Oreochromis niloticus: one gene and its partner. The protein of the gene in region 2 purifies or fractionates together with the protein of the main gene of each other region. This does not show direct contact. Links are inferred from orthologs where the notes say so. Each region holds a gene or a part of one and is shown on either strand. Other genes may lie near its edges.

What was found.
Region 1: the proteins of ptpn1 (region 2) and abcd3a purify together in Homo sapiens (affinity purification with mass spectrometry; 3 studies listed by BioGRID and IntAct, with this or other methods). This does not show direct contact. The link is inferred for Oreochromis niloticus from reciprocal best matches to the Homo sapiens genes PTPN1 and ABCD3.

Annotation. Positions count from the first base shown.
Region 1 is NC_031974.2:34,984,736-34,995,142, forward strand, and holds the start of abcd3a (ATP-binding cassette sub-family D member 3a), read right to left. Parts: upstream 6,482-10,407; 5' UTR 6,400-6,481; coding exon 6,293-6,399; intron 5,678-6,292; coding exon 5,647-5,677; intron 5,544-5,646; coding exon 5,445-5,543; intron 4,136-5,444; coding exon 4,047-4,135; intron 2,578-4,046; coding exon 2,508-2,577; intron 2,077-2,507; coding exon 1,979-2,076; intron 1-1,978. UniProt on the Homo sapiens protein: Broad substrate specificity ATP-dependent transporter of the ATP-binding cassette (ABC) family that catalyzes the transport of long-chain fatty acids (LCFA)-CoA, dicarboxylic acids-CoA, long-branched-chain fatty acids-CoA and bile acids from the cytosol to the peroxisome lumen for beta-oxydation.
Region 2 is NC_031984.2:10,040,159-10,050,565, forward strand, and holds the start of ptpn1 (tyrosine-protein phosphatase non-receptor type 1), read right to left. Parts: upstream 6,490-10,407; 5' UTR 6,086-6,489; coding exon 6,029-6,085; intron 3,788-6,028; coding exon 3,697-3,787; intron 837-3,696; coding exon 736-836; intron 1-735. Other genes in the region: klhl12 (kelch-like protein 12), read left to right, coding at 7,017-7,074, 9,024-9,250, 9,424-9,577. UniProt on the Homo sapiens protein: Tyrosine-protein phosphatase which acts as a regulator of endoplasmic reticulum unfolded protein response. Mediates dephosphorylation of EIF2AK3/PERK; inactivating the protein kinase activity of EIF2AK3/PERK.

The DNA of each region.
Region 1 (10,407 bases), on a different chromosome or scaffold from region 2:
TAAAATTAAAACTTTAACAATCCTGTTTTGCAGTGTTAGTCAGTGAGTGACTGGCTGCTCCTGTATGGGATTAGAACGATGCCACCTTATCCCATAGTCCAGCCAATGATGCGATTCACATTCGTATATACGCAGCTAATCAACGTCGCTGACAGGCTATGACAGCGTCCTTATGTGCCGACACCGGTGTTTTAGCTAGCAAAGCGGCGTGGCTGATGTGCAGTGAAGCCACGCTAATGACAATGTGTCCAACCATTGGAGATGTGAGCAGGACAGACGGAACAATTGACGGACAAAGTGTGGACTTTATACCAGTTTTTAAATTGTGTTGATCGGCCACGTAAAACCAGAGTTATGATAAAAATATCTGCAATGTTTGGTTTTCTTCCTGAATACTATCGTTGTTTATATTTACTGCGGGAAGAAACGGTAAAAACGGCGTTTTATAAGGAAAACGCTCGAAAGCCTGTGAGCAAAAACAAAACCAAACCCCCCCCACCCTTTCCTATTGGTCGAAAAATGTACCGTGTCGACCAATCAAAAAATGGTATGGCAACGTGGCATCTAGTTGTTAAGAAATGGGGGGAAGTTTTAGGAGTGACGGCGGTGTTCTGAGATGTGAGAGATTTGAGACGTTTAGCGCAAATCTTGTGTAGTTAGTGTGTAGTTAGTGTGTAGTGTAGTTTTGTTGTGTGTGTCAGAACAATGAGGCGGCTGCTGAATGTTACAGGTGTTACAGCAGTGATACATCTCCTGTTGTCAGGCCTGCAGGTATCAGGCTGTTGTTCTCCTTTATCTCATAGTGGACAGAAATTAGTTTTTGGAGTGGCACAAATAATTTGTGTGGCATCAGATTTGATGCAGAACAGCTGATTGTTCTGTAAATAGTTTGAAATGTTTATTTAAAAACGCCTTGGCTGCAGTAAAAAAAATAAATAGCTGCAAAAAACTTTGTTGTTTGCCAAACTGAGTTACTTTTTTGAAGAAGTAACTATATAATTAATTGCCCAACATTGGTCATTATATACTGTATTTGGCAGACAGAGAGTTACAGACTCTCTCTCAGACCACAGACTCATAATACAAGTCAGAGCTTTATGAAAAAAAAGAAAAGAAAGAAAGTTGTGTTTTCAAAATTGGAGTTCAAGTTATTTTTACTTCCAATAGTGTTAACATACTACACAGGTCATGAACAGGATTTTTTAAATTTTCATTGTAAGTGGGCTAAAGCAGTTAATTAAAAGTCGTCTAACATAAATGTAAATGCTGTGATTTGATTATTTTAATAAACCATGTAACTTGGATGGATTAGATGCTGGCGTGACCACAGTGCACACGTCTGATGTCGCTCACAGTGGTCCAAGGGACGCTCAGGGAGTTTGTGTGTTCGCTCAGACACATGAAAGATTTGAGGGAACATTGGTGGAAACATTATGGGTTCGCGGAGTCAGACGTGGATCAAATATTGTGCAGTATTTTGAAGTTCACTAAACATAGATGTTTACATTTTTCATTTATTTTTTATATTGCAAACATTTGCACTGTAATCAGTATTTGCACACTATTTTATATTATTTTTTGACAATCTTTAAAGCCATTATTCAATACATTGTTATTGTTAAATAAATATCGTCAAATAATCCAGATCTCAATTTCAGTGAAAATAATCGTGATTATCATTTTTGCCATAATCGAGCAGCCCTAGCTGCACCCACACAGGCACAGCTTACATGCATGTTCCAGGTGTTGGTGTCAGTGACCACAGGGAGACAGAGAGGCTTCAACACAACAGCCAAAACTGACACCGTCTCACATTTGTTTCTCAGATTTAGCAAACAAAGCCACTCGTTTCATTTGAAATTGTAGTTCAACTTGAAATACACCAGCCTAACCATGCTGCTCTCAATGCACCTGTCTCACAGGCACTGAAGGTGAAACCCTCTGGACATGATGAGCACAGTATTACTGGTGTACTTACTGCAGGTACTGGTTGTAGAGATGGTGGGTTAGCCTCTCACGAAACCTCAGCTTCAGCTCATTCAGACCAAACTTTAGGAAGTTGTTCACCAAGGATATCTGGAAACAGCCAGTCACACATTAAAAGAAAGCTCCCAGGAGAACAGCGTGGCAATAACAAAGCTAGAGCTGCTATGGTGACCACCCACAGTTACTGGCAAAGGCTACGGAGCAAACTAGCATGATTTCATGAAAGCCATGCAAACTAAACAACACAATCAGCCTGGGAAGAGTCAATGCTCAGTTTATGTCAGTATGATAATTACACCAATTTCTGTGCCATAGAGCTCAACCATGAAAAGCAGTCAGTCACACAGCTGCACAGGCATTCATTCACACTGTTAGCGAAGCAGAATCATGGTAGTGTGTGTTTTTGGTTTTAAATGGAATTATTTGTCATTCCAACAAAGATGTGGGAGCATGAACTACAGATGGACATGAAATCAACGTTGGAGTGTCACAAACCTCAGGAGTTCAGAGTTCACACTTACAATTGGCATGAATTCAATAAACTTCAACAAGCAGATCTTGAAATCTTTAGTCGAACGACCAATAATTGCACTGCAAACCACAACAAGAACAAAGATGAGCAAACAAAGCCAAGGTCAGAGACAAACACTGAAGCTTGCTGTGTGCAATTTATGATGTGATACGACACAAACAGAAGGACGGTGGGATCCTGACACGGAGCAACACTATTCAATCTATGCATTTCCATGTTATTAGCTGCTGTGCACTGGACTATAGAGGGCCACCGACTCCAAAGGCTTTACTGTACCACGGCTGACGTACAGTGGCTAGTGGCATTAAATTGGATTTGTTACATACATTACAAATATTTGTCAGATCCACCTAATCGCACAAAAAAAATTAAAAAAATATCGCAACCCATACCCAAGTGCAGTGTGTGTGTGCTCGTAATTCAAAATCTGCACCAATATCAAATCTATAAGCAACAGTACTTCAGTCAAACAGCTAGACGATGCTCTTGGTCAGTTGGCTCTCTGAAAACTCCTCAGTGACTCCTGGATCAAACCATGACGCTCTCCCTGCTGCTGCCACCATGAAGAAATGGATCGAACCACAGTCTCGGTCTTTTCTTGCTTAGAAGCATCAGGCCCAGCTCGCTCTCCTGGGGTTTCTCACATTTGCAGAGTGTACATAGAACAAGTCTGCATTTGAATAATTCTCAGCTTCAGTCGCTTCTTAACAATGCAGCGTGCGACGGCTTTCACTGCTCCTAAAAAGATGTTCTCAGCCAGCAGTTTCTCATCAGATACAATCTGTGACCGGCGGCACTCGTACGCAGCGCTTTGTGTGCTAGGGTCACATGATACATGAAACGGCCCTTCTGAACGCACACAGTATCTGAAGCAGAACAAGTTCATACTACACGTCATGTCTGATCAGCTGCAGGCCGAGCCTGCTGATTCAGAGACAGCCGGCTGTGCTGCTCATTACTCTGACATGTACAATCAGACTGACACAGGCTGCTTCCAAACCAGGAGTAACAAGGCACAAGCACACACTGAATAGCATTCCAGTTAATCTATGCCAAGATGTTACACATTACCATGATGACCACAGGTCAGTGTTTTACCTCAAAAGGAAAGCAGACCTCACACAAAGCACAACAACTCCAAAGCAGATGTTAAAACTACCATGTTAATGGCTTCCCCACTTCTAATACAAGCACTTGTTGACAGTTACCCCTGGTATGACTGATATGTAGGAAAAAAAGTGCCTGTTGAATAGAGAGCTGTCTCTGCTTATAATACCACTGTGAAGAATCAAAACAAAGTTCATCAATTCCTGTAAAGACAGCAAAGCAAAATCAACGTTACATTTTCAAACTTTCATTCTGTGACTAGCAGCAGAGAAACCCGGGAACGCCACATGCAAGGTAGGGCATCAGCATCAGTGATATACACTACCCCACCCCCCATACATAGATTTATCATCTTTGTTGTGTCGTCTGATTTACTTTTGTAACAAAAACAAACATCTTATCTTAAACACTGAAGCCTGACCTTTCGATCATGGTCCCATTCTGGATCATCCACACATCACAGTAGGTTCTGGCCACCAACATGGCAGCAATAAAAATAAGGTAGCCAGCCTGTGGAGGAGAGGGGAAACAGCGCCCACAGTTAGTGGAGTGTGTAAAAGACTGCAGTCAATCACAGTTGTTTATTATCCTACCTTTGACTCTGCTCATATCTAATGAACTGATGAGATAAGACGAGAAGAAACCAGGAGCAGCCATGTGGCTGCGACCTTGACTTGTGGAGTTATTGTTTCTGTGTCAAAGGGCTCTGCTGCACACGCAATCAGAGTAACGGTTTGGAAACAGTTTCCAAGTATCTTTGAACCATTACCAGATACCAATGTTTTATGGTTGGCCCAGTCATCACTGGTCAAATAGGTGAAAGGCAAATGGACCTCAGTAATTAGGGCTGTCACAAAACTAGAATTTCAAATGTAATACCAATAACCATGAAAATGTCAGAGAGCAGCCAATCTAACACCACGGGGAGGGAAACACAGGCACAAGTACTTTTAAATGGGAGGACTGGCAACATGTGTCTTCAACATTAATGCTGACCAGAAGGAAGCAAAGATGAAGTGTTGGTATCACTACGATCTTATTATCAGGTAATTACTGTCCAAGTATCATATTTATACACATGCTGTCCACACCTGCTGTGTTTATTTCACTTAAAAATATGTGAAGATGTGAACACAGTAACCTCACTGTGACACGAACCAAAGCCGGAGCCATGGACGTTGTGTATTGTGGGATCCGGCAAGGTACTATAGATATGTGAGGGTCTGTATGGGCTAGCAAGCAAGCTGTGAAATTCTCCATGTTCTCCTGTAGTTGAGAACACAACACCATCGTCCTGAACTAACCTTTGTTGCTCCCACTGCAGACAGATTTGGATTTTTCTGTGTGAAAACAAACCAAACTATGGGGACCAGCTACACATGCAGCAACTGATACAGACCAGAGTAAAAGAACTATAGGTGTGAAAACACCAAGTCATCAACTACATATTGGAAGCTGTGATCTCAGCTCACGGCAGATAAGATGGGCACCGAGCCCTGGTAGGGTAATGGCTCTTCAGTCTCTGGTCCTTAGAAAGAAGGAACCAGGATGTGCTCACAAAGCAGTCAAGGCTTGTTTTTTACACTGTACTGGCTTTTCTGCTATTTTTTTAGAATAAAGGATGCAGTGTGTTTTTCCCCCTGATAATCATTTAACAGCGATCAGAAGAAATGTACAGCATGTCTACACTGGCGTGATGAAAGAACTGTCCACTGCCCTGGAATCTAACAAAAGCACATATATGAATAAATAAGAGAGCAGTGAGTGCAGGCAGTGTAACAGCTTGGTTCAAGTCTACTCGCTTGTCTTCACATCTTACCTCCATGCAGAAAACGCGAGGCACCAAGACCCGGAGAATCCGGAGGATCCGGAGAAAGAAAACTTTGTCCACAGCTGCCCGATCTTTTTTGCCATCCTTCTACATGAAGAGGTACAGACAAGAATTAAAGCAATTGCACCAAACTAAGTATTATGTAGACTTTGGACACTTTAAACATTCAGGTCAGGGTGTTTCAACATACCTGCGTGTTCAGCACCAGATCTGAGCTTCCTCTGAAAAAGACGGGGTTGAACGATTATCAGAAACACGCTGTTAACAGTGGCCTCCCCTGCCATACTGTAGCATGAGGCCCATTTACGGGATTCACACAGGGACTACAACCTCCGCCTTCACCGCCTCAGAGCAGTGTTACTTCTGTAAGCTTTCCCACAATTAACATTACTCACTTCACCTGCCAGCGGGTTTAATGTTGTTGTGGCTGACAGATAACTACACACACTACCTTATTAAATTATACACACACACACACACAACTTTGGCTGACAGTACGACATTTCTTAGAAAGATATAGTAGAAGACACCAAGCCACAGATTTGACAACTAAGTCGTTTCCCAGTCAGCCCAGTCATGGGTTTACGACAGTGTGTCAGGAACACACGTTACTTCTGTTTGTGTTGGGATGTATGCCGACCGAAACAAGAGGGCCCCAAAGTGCACACAGAAAACGTGCCTGCTTAGAAAACCTGAGGGAGACTCGGGAGCACCGAGGCAGCGGCAGGTCGCAGTCACCTGTCAGCATGAGCTGCTAGCCGCTCCTAAGTAGCATGACAGTCGTCGCAAACTGCTGACAACCAGCTACTGAGCGACACATAACAGCAGCCACTTACCTATTTGACTTGGTCCGCTTCCTGTGCTTCAGCAGGACTAACACAAACAAAATGCTGCCCGCTATGGAGGAGTTCCTAGCTGTCAGATATTTACTGAAACCCGCCATGACTGGGACACAACGACCGGCCTGCTCCCCACGGTCTTTCGGTCGAAGTCTTCTGCTTCTTCTTCTTCTTCTTTTTCTTGTGCTTCGGCTTCTTCTTCCTCATCGGCGGCTGACAACAAGTATAGAGATGCATTACTGCCACCTACCTGTGGCTACAATACTACTACTACTACTAATAATAATAATAATAGTAAATTGTCATTATTATTATGTATCTATTTTTACTTTGACACGTCAAGTACAAATGCATATACGAATGAATGAATTGCCAAAGAGATCAGTAACAATGAATTTAAACACGAAAACAGAGTCAGTGAATAAATGTACATCCAAAAAACACACAAATATCTATCATATCTAAATAACTATGCAAAAAATAAGCATGTGAACGAAGTGTAATATTAAATAAAAGCTGCACTTACTTTACAATAGCATATGTTTTTTTGTGTTTTTTTCATTTTAAAGTACCTGTAAAGTTTTTTATATATAAGTTAAATTATAACTTAAATTAGCTCAATTAGTTTAAGATCTAACCCTGCTTTAGACATAATAATCAATGATGGTGATAATGAGGTAGCTCTTCTGCCTTAAGCCATGTGCTTAGCCAGAGGTTGTTTGGTTTCCTTAATGTATAAAACATGACAATCATCCTGGCACTTACTGGTGTATTACTAATCTGTGCCGGGGGACTGCCAGTCACACAAAGCTTGTTATCAACTTGGTAAGCTAACCCACGGTTTCCCCTGGGGTTTCTGTCCCGCAGTCTAATAAAGGAAATATGGAATTCTCTACAAAGTAACAGGAAGCAAAGAAGCAAAGAAGGACTCATCCAGGCTGGAGAAACTAATCAGGAAGGCTGGCTCTGTGGTCTGTGAAGCTGGACACTCTGGTGTCAGTGGCAGAGAAAAGGACACTAAAGAAACTCCTGGACATTATGGACGATGCTGGGCATCCTCTGCACATGGTCGTAAACAATCAACGGAGCCTATTCAGTGACAGGTTGCTTCTCCCAGAGTCAAGAACCAACAGACTTAAAAACTCCTTTGTCCCACAGGCCATCAGACTGTTTAACGCCTCTCTGGAGGGGAGAGGGAGGGGAAACAGGGGGACAAGGGAGGGCGGGAACAACTGAGCTGTAGGTGCTTTTTTACACTGTGCAATATTTGCAATATATATATATATATATATTTTTTTTTTTCTTATATTCGACTGTGCAATAATCACGGTGCAATATACTCATTCAAATGAGCAATCCTTTGTATATTCTGTATCTATATATTTGTATATGTGTATATATGGTGTATTTATGCTAATATCCTTACTCTCATTCCCCTTATTGTATCTGTAACATGCAACTTCTTTCGATGCTTTGCTACTGGAAACTGAATTTCCCGGAGGAACCCACCCGAGGGATTAATAAAGTTTCATCTAATCTAATCTAATCTAATCTGAACTGTGCATGTTTCTGTGACAATGCAATGCATGCAGTTTCACTCAGCGGTTTTAGTTCTGTAGACTTAACCTGCACATATAAAGGGTATTCCCCCCAGGACTGAGTCTCTATCACACTTAAAACAAGCTGTAAATAAAAATGTTCTCTCAGCTTAAAGGGTTTGAAACTAAACATAGAAACATAGGCTAAATCTATCTACAAATTTGATATGAGGTCAGTGTAGGTCCATCAACGACCACGATAAGATAAGATAAGATAAGATAAGATAAGATGGCCTTTATTAGTCCCACAGGTGGGAAATTTGTTTTGTTACAGCAAAAGTGCAAAGTTATGTAGCAGAAATTAGAAAACACTGGAATGCAATAAAATACAATAAAATAAAATAAAATACTATATACAATAGAATAAAATAGAATAGAATAATATATACAATAGAATAAAATAGAAATACAAATACTATATACAACTGAGTAGGAAAATACAAAAACACAACTTCGTCAGAAGAAGAATTGCACGTATAGCAGTCTTATTGCACATGTGTGGGTTTGTGTGTTTGATCAGCTGCAAAAGTCTTTATTGTAGAGTCTGACAGCAGTGGGGAGGAAAGACCTGCGAAATCTCTCCGTCCCACACCGTGGGTGCCGCAGTCTCCCACTGAAGGAGCTGCTCAGTGCCTTCACAGTCTCATGCATGGGGTGGGAGATGTTGTCCAACAGGGATGACAGCTTAGCCACCATTCTCCTGTCACTCACCACCTCCACTGGGTCCAGAGGGCATCCTAGAACAGAGCTGGCCCTTCGGATCAGCCTGTTCAGTCTCTTCCTGTCCCGATCCTTATAGAACAACAAAATTGTTGTAAAAATGTTTTGTTCCCAACAGAAAAAACAATCAAAGAATAAATTTGCATCTTTGTGATCTAAAGAGCTCTTACATTCTTTTAATAATATCCAAAAATGTGAAGGCTACATATTTTTCAAATTTTATCTAAAACAGCCAAGAGAATTCAAAAGTTTTACTTGACACAATCAGAAACATTGTCATGTCTGAACGTCCTGCTCCAACTGTTCAGTCAAATAAAGAGTGTGAAAACTTTCTTTCTGTGTTAATAAGACCCATAATATCAAGCAAATATTAGCTGGTCATCACTCTTTGCACCAATCTCTCTGAACAGTCTCGTCAGTTTGGTTGATAAAATGAAGGCATTCTTTTGCCCACTTGACACTTTACCAACTTGACTGTTCAAAAAGGTCTCACACACCAATGCACCACTTGTTCTTAAGGTGATGAATAATTCTTTCACCTCTGAATGTGTCCCTCAATGCTGACCTCTCCCTCCTTGAGAATTTTAGGCCATTTTCTTATGTAGGTGAATATTCCGTCCTTGTACTTTTTGATCTCTCTGCTGCCTTTAACACTGTTGTTCATGGTGTTCGGATTGACTTGGGTGGCCATTTGTAGGTCTTGACTGTTTTTCTTCCAATCTCTCTCACAGGAGTTTTTCAGCCCCGGGACCTATCCATGCTCTCACTTGGGCACAAGTTCAGTATCTTCTCATATCGTTGTTATGCAGATGATATTCAGATGTACATGCCCTTCAAACCCCAGAATGTAGCCACATTATCTATACTTCAAGACTGCATTCATGTTATAAAAAAAGGATATTTTCTCTCTTTGAATACAAAAAAGTCTCTCTGATTTAAAGTTCTGATCTGTGCACCTAACACAGTAACTAAAAATCTTGGCCCACTCTCATGTTTAGTTTCCCCACTGTGAGAAATCAGCATGTTGACTACCTTTTTAGAAGCTGTTTTTGTCATCTGCAGAACATCGCCCATCTTAAATATACTGTGTGTCAAATTGAAATGGAAATGGGGTGCTGGTCCCGCAGATCGACATTTGGAGTTTTCATCTTCACTGCCCTTATCCTAGTGTGCCATCGGTGCAAATATAATTTTATCTTAGAGGACAAGGGGTTGTAATTGTGTCTTTATGGTCGCCTCCCTATCAGAGGCTGTACTTGTCCTGACGTACATCTTGGGACAGTAAAATCTGAAGTCATCCCCTGTGTTTTTGATATATTAATTTTGTATACTGAAAATTTGCCAAAGTCATATATTATGTTCATTAACACTTCAAATGATTTGCAAAGCTCCTCCAGGAACATCATCAGCAAACATCACCAACTGCTCACATCCTACCATCACAATGTCTCCAGCCTTTTAGTGGCCTGGAGGGTCTATAAATACAACAAAAAGGAGAGGAGATAGAATATAAGACTCTGAAAGGTCTTATACCTTTGCTCAGGGTTTATTTACAAAGCCTGTATTATTTTAATAATGTTAGTACAGATAGTCCTGATGTTCCCGTGTTTGTCATGGGCATCTGTGTTTGGAGGAGGAAAATGCAAGATTCTTGGCCAAAATCTCCTTCAGCTGGATGAGCTGTCAGAGTCTAGGGGAGTCAGTATGGAAGTAGCAGTGACACACCCACAGGACTCCATCCACACCCAAAAAGGGTGTCCATGAACTGAAACTTGATGTTGGTGTTAAGGCTGC
Region 2 (10,407 bases):
AATGTTGTAATTTGTGTTTCAACAATTTTTTGATTAATGTTTTGTTTCCGTTACAATATTATACTTTAATGTATAATATTGTAACGGAAACAAAACAGGAAACAAAACATCAATCAAAAAATTGCTCTCTTTTTTATTCGGGCTACTTAAATTTATTTTGGGCTACCACAAACTGAAGAGTCCCTGCCCGAAGGGCTACCAGGGATTTTCAAATTTTGCGAGCCCTGCAGTGTCACTCTAACCAGAAGGTCGACTCATTGATGCTGAGGACGACTTGAAAGCTATAAAAACATGATAAACCTCGACTTTTAACGATGAGGGTAGAATGAAAAGAAACACCTCCATCATTTAAAAGCACAACAAACGAAAAGATTCTAAATTTATCATAAAAGCCGAATCAAAACCTTAAAAAAACGGTGTCAGCAGAAACTAAGAATTATGACCTTCATAAAGGGAGGACCTCATGCTGAGTTACTGCATTAGAGTGGCCTCATCTTTAGCTCTGTGTGCCTAACAAACTAATAACTTTGCATATTTTATAAATGTTGCAGACAAGGACATAAAATAAGGCGAAACTATAAAATACAAGATATTATGGTCATTAGGCCAACCAGGAAACCAAATTATCTTATACAATGAGAAAATACTGACTTAAAGGTTTGGATTTTTCTGTCACTGTCTCTCTGAATTAGAGGAAATATTGAATTTTCAGTACTGAATCTTTTCTACACTTACCTGAGTAAGGATATAGTTCCTCCGTGCCTCTTCTACGGTTATTAGGCTGGCATTAATGTAGTCATTTGTACCTAACTGCAGATGTATTCTGCTGTGATCAACTGAAAAGAGAAAAAACAAAAGAAATATGAAAATATGCATATGAACTTTTTAAAAAAAAAATTTAAATGCCACAACCCACCAGGGACTAGAAATGCAATTCTCAGACCAAAACAGCTGTAGGGAACACTTAACAAGCATCTTCATACAAACTAAAGATGTTAACTATTGTGAGATTAGCTTTTTATGATTTCCAGTGAAGAACCTTTTAGGTAAAAGGTTAGCAGTATAAAAAAAGTTTCAGGTTCCTGATTTTCATATCTGGTAAAGGGGAATAAGAAAACCCTTGTTGGTATTTACGGTAACTATTTGCAACCCAGTCTGAGAAAAAAAAAAAAAATTTGCATGGCTTATTGAGTGTGAAAAAGAGGAAACTCTGTAGTTCAGCTGTTAGGACGTTTTGTAGAAAGTTCATTGCAACCTGACTATCTGCTGAAGCTGACATGAGGCTTTCAGTTATTGCAAAGTCTCCAGCAGTAGAAAGATTTTGAGAAGAGGTCAGCGTGACCTGTGAGAAAATTATCACAAGAGGAAGTGCACTAGACCCAAAGCTATCTGATTTGTACCCAAAAAGAACACATGAGTATAATGAACCTTGTATTTTAAATGCCAAACTGCTATAGAAAATTCAAACAAAAAAGCAAACAAACAAGCAAAAAACACAAAAAAGATTCATGATCAAAAAATACATATTGCAAAAATCATTTGGTATCTTTGTGTTCTTTGAGTCACCAGCAAGAGGGAAACTTCCGGAGCTGAAAACACAGAAGTGGCAGAAACTACAGATCCTCTAGAGAACACTTGAGGTTGACTCTAAAAGCGAGTAATTCCCAACAGACTCCCCTGTCAAAACGCCCAAATTTACAGCATTAAAATATATATTTACAACTTGGTGTAGAGAAGAAAAAAAAAAAAAAAAAAAAAAGAGGAAACTCATTCACTTAGATAATTGAGTTATTGAGTTAGCTTAGTCATTGTGTTGATTGACAAGTGTACTTACATGTAGCTGATGTACACCTCCACTAACTGGAGTCACTGAGCTTTTTTTAATGGAGATCATTTGACTAATAACTAATGTGTGGTACAAACTAGTCACAAAGTTTGTGCTCCTTTTTGTTGAGTGTTTCCTGCTACTGTATTAATTAACAGTTCATTGATGTTGCTAAAAAAAACTGTACCTGTAAACTCAGCCCTTCACCCTTTCATGCATATAAGGTCAACTCTAGCTCCCAAAAAACATCATAACATTATGATAGTGGCCAAAACTAACTTTAAAGCTTCAAAATTCAGCTTTTATCCACGTGCATCCTTTTATACTGTGTATGGTCACCAAACTGCCAGTAAGAATATATTTTAGATACACGGATTTATATCCTGAAGTAACAGCATAATATCCAGCACACAGCTTGTAACAGTACCAAAATATTGGTCAAAGACACCAGTAAGTCCCAATGAGGCCAATACTGTTAATGAAATCAAGCTCACAAAAAACAGTGGCTCCTTTAAGATTTTTAAGATATATCCTCAATTCAGAAAAAAGATTATTTTTTAAATTAATATTTATGAATGAATTATGCTTCAGTATATACGCTCACTTTTTATGTAACATACAAAAAAAAGGAGCTGTGTGGTTATGGATAACCATATATTTATAAGATAAAAAAAGAGAGGAAATAGAGGAAATGCTTGTTTCTGTTTTTGCTTTTTATTTTACCATTTATTTCAAGGCTTAAAAAAATAGATGATACTAAAAACATTGCTGAAAAAAAAAAAAAAAAAAAAACTTAATTTCCCCTTTCCCTGATCTTCCCCTTGTGTAGGTGTTTTTGAGACACTCAGTAATAAATTAGCTGGAAATACTATGCCACGCCAGTTAGAGTCATGCAAGGCTGTTTCTATTGCGCAATACTACCTTTACTTGACTTCAAACTGATATTACAGTGCTTGTACCTACTAAAACAGCAGACAGCTTAGGTGTTTATATAATGCTGCATAATGCTGTGACTTCACCACAGATGTTTAAACATAAATAGGAGATTACAGACCCTTCAACACTGCGGGTAGAGTACCAAGCAAAGAGACCCACAGTGGCATTCACTTAACCTTCAAGTATTCAAATGAGGTCGCATTATCACCCCAGCTGTATATTTATATGTGCCTTTGTGATATTTTGAATCAGAAAAATGTTCCTATCATGACATGACATGACATGACATTTGCCATTCCACAACTTTTCATAGTTTCTTACACGAATAACCCCTTTGGTGTGGCAAAGATAATAGAAAGCTGTGTGAAAATGTGAGCATGTTGTTTTTTTTTAAAAACATAACAGTGTTTGATTTTATTGTAATTTTCCACTTGTACTCACTCACTTTAATGTTTTGCAATGAACCACAGTTCACAGATGCAGAGCAAGATTCAGAGATATCCTGAAGCACATGCGGTTTGACAACTGAGCAACCAGAGCTGGCAGGCAGGACACAAACAAATCTGCTACTTTCAGGGGCATTTGGACAATGTTTCTATCACAGTTACCCAAATACTATATCCCTGTGACCAACCTCTGTGTGCATGGTGCTAGCTTTAAGAGGCAGGTTAAGTTTCAGGTAATGTATCTGTTCTACAGAAGGTTTGGCATAAAAACCTGGCATAACTGTGATGCTTAAAATCACTGAAAACCCTAGTTAATTACATGAAAACATTTTAAAATATCTGCCCTAGATAAATGAAACCAGTATACGAGTATATAATGAGGTCCTAAATGTAATTTTAGTGGCTAAAACACCTTGAGAGTTGTGGGAATATTTTAAGTGTTTCAGACTCTGCGGTCCAGCACACTGAGGCAAGCAAAGACAAACTTACACGGGCTAACGTCTCTGTATCGATTCCGATTCTTGTTTTCAGGTGATTTGGCAACCTTACAAGGGAATTCACTCGACTGCTGCCGAATCTCCTGTAACAGAATAAAAGGAGGAAAACAAGCATTAAAGCAGAGTTTTGGTGTTTTTGCAGGGTTTTTTTCGTTTTGTTTAAAAAAAACAACAACAACAACAAAACAACATCCACTCCACATTAAAAAGCTCTGAGTGTGACTGCTGTATTCTTTAAGACAAACAAACAAACAAAACAATGATGACATTCACTGATGACCCTTTTACAATTTCCTCTAGCTATCTCAATAACAATCAGGATTATATTTGCCTCAATACTAACACTGTCAAAAGCTTGTATTTAGACTACCCTAAAATATGAGGAGGGGGTTATCAAATTTCTGAAACCAGAAATTTGCTGGTTGCTTTCTTAGGGTGGTTAATGAAAGTTTAATTTAAATGTCAATTCTGACTTCCAACAATTATGAAAACAAGAAACAACATTCATTTTCATTGTTTTTATTGTTTCATGATATACATGTTCCAAGCCCACCTATTTTGCTTTCACCTCTTCCTAAAAAGTTTAAACTTGCGGTTTAGTTCAGTTGCAGGCAATATAACTGCAAGAGAGCTAAACAGCGGGACAAAAAGTTTCAAGGCATAGGTAGGTGAACCTGTGGAAAGATTATTAATGGTTGACTGCAGCCGTTTCCAACTCTAGATCACTTAGGGCCTGTCACCCTATCTGCTTTTGGCAATGCTGAACAGTTTGCGGTCAGCTTCAGTTCTCTGTGGTTCATCTGAGGCTGCTTTAAAGGTTTCCCAAGACGGCCGAACTCTATTACAGCGTTTCGCCCATCTGGACCCACAAACATTCCGCTATGGAAGCTATGGGCTTGTAGGGACCATCACCTGGTCTGGCTTTATAATCCAAAGCCCTGCCTACTGAACAGTTTTTTTCTATGTTATTTGAATTATGTAACAGTTAAAGAAGATTCCATGTGAAAAAACAACAACAACAACACAGTTTTAACTTCAGCCACTGCATAATGTTTGTAAAGTTTGTAAATAATAGAGAGATGATTGAGATTTGACTCAATGACCAATCATAGTCCATAACCTTATGTTCCACAGTTTCAGTTTATTCAATTTTCTTCAGCAGGGATAAATAACAAAGACACGAGGGAGAAAACCAAAGTCCACAACAGGTCTGATCGTTTGATCAAGACTGAATTACGAATAACAATTTAGCTCCATTAAGAGCATTTCCTGGCTCAAAATGAGCCTTTGGGGTGATTACATGAAGTTTGCGTAGCAGGTCAAATTTTCTTATACGCAGAAAGAAAGAAAAAAACCCCAACTAAACAGTACACTTCATATCATAAATGAGGAAGTGAATGCCTTTGACATGTTTAGTAGACCACAAATGTACAGAAAATATTTAATGTGTTGGTAAATGTTTTGAACAGTACTTTTGCTAGCTCACAAAAAAATTCCCAGGGGGTACTTTTAATTTTAAGTTTTAGGATATGGTCTTAAAGAATTAAAATAGAAGCTGTATGGCACATATAACAGACTAATGAATCCTGTATGCAATAGTATATTGGGGAGAGGGGGATTCCTGGCTCAAAGCAGGTTTCAGTTGGGGTTTTTTTTGGTTATTTGTTCTGTCAGAAATTTATTTTTTCTAAATTAACCCCACTGAAAACCCTTAACAATGCATTTAAGTTTGAGTAAATCAAACCCCATTCAACAAAAATTAATAATTCTCTTTTATGAAAGGCTAAAACTTCTTTAGAATGTGGCAAAGTTTTTCATAGAGGAAAATTTCTACCATTATTGTGATGCATTTCCATTTGAATTGTTACCTATGGCATTTTACACCTTACGTGTATCATGGTATGGGAGAGATAGAACCGCGATACGATATTTTGGAGGTTTGTATCGCGATTTCACTCGGTTTCAGGTGTGTTATACCCCTATGTAATGTATTACAAACATTTATAATAATTATAATAAGCTGCCGATTAACAGCGGAATGGAAATGTTAGACGAAACTGAGAACAAATCATTAAAAATAAGTTAGTACGTCCAAAAAATGTATGACGTCAGTCAGCGTTGAGCTGCTGCCTTTATACCCGGGCAGACGCATCAATCATCGGTTAACTCCGAGCAGGAAGAACAGGCGCTGAACTAAACACCAACACACTGATATAGCCAGAGAAACTATAGCTACCACCTCACCTTACATAAGCTACACGTTGGCCTAACCAGCTTCAGCTACGGTCTGATTATTTCCACCTTAATTTGCCAAGAGCTCTTACCTGATAAATGGCGTTCCAGCTGCCGTTTTCATCGATTTCCCGAAATTCAGCTTCCATCGCTGACAGTCCAGCTGCCACTCACTCTCTCGTTGTTTAGCCTCCCGATACGAACAACCAAAAGTCCCCGAAGATTAAACAAATTTCAGTCAAACTATTCGCAGTAGCTGCCAACTGGTCTGCCGCTGTTTTGTAATTCTCAGTGCGGCTGCATAGATTACCGTCTCGGCCTGCTCTTAGCGGAAACACGCCGCTAACTCCTCCTCCTGCTGCTGTAGCTGCCGTCCTTGGGTGACCAAAAAAAAGAGAGCAGAATTTTTTTTTTTTTTTAAGAGATAAAATTCCTCCTGCGTTTCTCTGTGTGTCACTTTGGGTTTATAAGCCCCCGTCAAATCCGGATTTGTCACTTAGTTTGAGTGAGACGGCTATTTTACTATTCCTACAGCAGCAGTTGAGGCCGACCAGCGGGCATGCGCGGAAGGCATCTTGTTTCTGGAGCGAAACGCGTCTGGGCGGTCTCCTCGGGGGACGCGCACGTACACTCACGTAATGGTCTGTTTACGTCCAATCTGTGGAGTCGCTGCTCTGCTGCTGCAGTTTAGTCAACGGGATATTATAGCTGGATAAAAATCCCATCGGGATTTAATATGATGCCGTTCCGATATATGTGTCCTCACGGTGGCCGTGCATAGAGTGACCCGGCAGAGGTCGTCATGGAGTAGCTGTAGTTGAGGGGCTTTGTTTAGGCAGTGCGACTGGGAGCAAAGAACTGGGACAGGGGGACTTTGGTGCTACTAACGTTAGCTAGCTGAGCAACTTAGCTAGACGTTTTTACTGCTGCGACAGGTATTATTATAAGTTGTTTTGTGTGTGTGTCGCTCCATGTGTTGTCTTCCTCTGGCCGTCAGCTCACTTTATATTGCTGTGTTTTCGTAGTTGTTATTGTTAGCGTTGGCGTTAGCCGTCAGCTGTCGTTGGCTGCTGCTAGCTAATGTGTAGCTATAGTTATTGCCTCCCAGTGGTGGAAAAAGTATTCAGATCTTTTAACGGTAAGTTTTATTTGCAAGACTGTAGTGGAAAAATGTTCCAAAAATGTAAAGTCTGGAAAGGAAAAAAAACACATATTTATTTGACTAGCATTATTAAATATGCTGCATTTATTCATAGAAATAACTGATCATTTAAACCTTTCTACAAGAAGTAGAGTGATGAGAAAAGTATTTCCCCCATTTCTGAGTTGTTATTTTTTTCATTTTTGAAATCTTCAAAGAACTTTTAAAATTAGGCAAATGTAATCTCAGTTAATACAAAATGCAGTTTTTAAATGATGATTTAATTTATTCAGGGAGTAAAGATATTCATACCTACCCGGCCCTGTGTGGACAAAAGTAATTGCCCTCTACAACCTTGATAACTTGTTATACCACCCTTGGAAGGATGAACCGCAGTCAAGTCTTTGTGATAACTGGGAATGAGTCTTTCACATGTGGAGAAAATCTGACCCACTCTTCTTTGCAGAATGATTTTAATACAGCCACATTAGAAGGTTTTCAAGTATGAGTGGCCAGTTTAAGGTCATGCCAAAGCATCTTAATCTGGTTTCAGTCTAAAATTTGACTAGGCCGGTCCAAAATCTTATTTTTTTGAGCCGTTAAGAGGCAGACTTGTTAATGTGTTTCAGATCCTGCTGCATAACTCATGTTATGCACCAAGTTATGCTTGAGCTCCATGGGACAAACTGATGACTTCACATTGTTCTTCAGGATTTTCTGGTAGAGAGCAGAATTCATTGTTCCATGAATTACAGCAAGAAGCCCTAGACCATCACACTACCACCACCGTGTTTCACTGTTGGCATGATGTTCTTTTTGTGAAATGCTGTGTTAGTCTTACATCAGATGTAACAGGACACAAACCTTTCAAAGGTTCAACTTTAGTCCTCAGAGTATTTTTTTTTTCAAAAGTTCTGGGGTTTATTTAGATGTTCTTTGGCAAATGTGAGACATGCCTAAGGCCTCCTGGATCAGTCATCGATGGGCTTTTGGAGTAATTTTGGTAGGCTGGCCACTCTGGTGAATGTTCACCACTGTTCCAATTTTTTCTTCATTTGTGGTTAGTGGCTCTCACTGTGGTTCACTGGAGTCCCAAAGCCTTAGAAATGGACGTCAGTGACTTTGGTTCTCATCTGTTTTGATCATGGCATGATATGTTGGTTTTTGAGCACTTTTGGGCTACTTTACTTTGTCAGGCAGGTTCTATTCTTGTGATTTCTTGATTCAGTAGGTGTGGTAGTAATCAGACCAAAGTGTGGCAAGTGTAATTGAACTCTGATTTCCAAAAATGTGGTTAATTGGAGTTAATTCATGATTTAACAAGGGTAACAATTCTGTTTTTACACAGGGCCAGGTAGGATTGGATAGCTTTTTTCCCCCTTAATAAGTCAAGTCATTGTTTGCAAGAAATAAATCAAGAAGTCGAGCAAATACAGCACTATAAATACTATAGTGCTTCTATGATAGTCAGTATTTTCTCTCCATTGCTGTCCTGTAAGCAGAATAAATTATGCTATTTCTTGTCCTTGCCAAGAAAAAAATGTAGAAATAATACACAATACAAATTATATATATACAAAGTAAGTATTATATAATGTAAAAGTTAATATAAAGTGGGGTTTTTTTCATGTACATTTTCATTAGCAGTTAGGTTTTGGGGGGGGAGGGGTTTGGGTTTTTTTTTTTTTTTTACAAAATGTTGTAAAAAGGGTGTAAAATAGTGACAAAAATCTGTTATCATTTCCCACAAAGTGTCACAAACTTATCTTGTGAATAGCCAGCAGTTCAACCCAACTGACAAATTACTGACAGACACACACACTCACTAGCTGCATGACTTGCTTGTACAGTATATAAAAATGTGACATTGTGGCGTGCTTTTATGCTTACTGTGGAATACCTTTCTTCCCAAAGGATGTTTTCAAAATAGACTGTCTTTTTTCCAGATTCATTTAGTAGTTTGAGATCCGTAAGGGATTCTCAAAGCAGCATGGCTCCCAAAGACATCATGACCAATTCCCATGCCAAATCCATCCTCAATGCAATGAACTCACTTCGCAAGAGCAACACACTCTGCGACATCACTCTGAGGGTGGAGAACACTGATTTTCCAGCTCACCGAATCGTCTTGGCTGCCTGCAGTGACTATTTTTGTGCCATGTTCACTAGCGAGGTAATAATGTTTGAAAAATAGATGCCCCAGTTACATTCCTGATGCACTCTTTTATTCTGTTTTTTTCTTTGTTGGCCTTTCTGGGTGTTTTAAGGTGGTGTTACATTTGCCTAAAATGCAGGATGATTCTCAAAAGTAATCCTTCAAATAAATGTGTTGTTGTGGCTCTGTAGCTTGCAGAAAAGGGGAAATCTTTTGTCGACATTCAGGGGCTCACGGCATCCACTATGGAGATCTTGTTGGACTTTGTCTACACAGAGACTGTGCTCGTCACGGTGGAGAACGTACAAGAGCTGCTCCCTGCAGCGTGTTTGCTACAGCTCAAAGGTAAGTTCAGAGCTGTACCTTGAGTTAAAAAGTTTCTAATAATTGTCTCTGGTTTTGACATTGTCTTCAGAAGCTTCTGTGTTTTGAGCTTTTATAACTTTGTTTAACATGTTAATATAACATAATATAATTATGTCTGTTTACCACGGTCTGCTGATAAGAATTAGTGTGTATGGGTAAATGTGGCATATTTACAGTGTTCATGTTAATTAAAGTGCAATGTTATGATGAAAGAAAATAAACATAATGATTAAAGAGTTTGCCTAAGCCATCTTTTCATGACTGTAACCCCAGATCTTGAAACGTATTATTCAGTTTCCTCAAAGATACGTTTTACCAGGTATTACAAAGTTTGAATTGTTTCCTCTTGCAGGCAGTAATGTATTAGTTTTAGCATGACTTAGGTCAGTTTATGTGTAGCTGGTAGAATAAACTGGGTTGTTGTAATGTTGGATTTTGGAGTTTTAGTAAGCAGGCCTGTTGAAATAAGTCACTTTCGCAAACGTTAGTAACTGGGAAACTCATCCAGTTACAGATTTAAATGGATCATCTTTAATTCCTCAATCCATTCATGAAACAACGTAAGGGCTTAATTCGAACCTCAGTTACAGCAGTGTAATCAATCAATCACGCAGTGTTGTATTCAGTATTCATACCTTGTATAGCACCTGGGAAAATCCATGCATCCATCTATCTTCTGCCAGGATGAGTGGGCAGCAGTCTAAGCAGGAGTGCCCAGACTTCCCGCTCCCTGGCCACCGTATCCAGCTCATCTTAGCAGACGCCATATAATCTTATATTTAAAAAAAAAGTTAAAAAAATGACAGCGA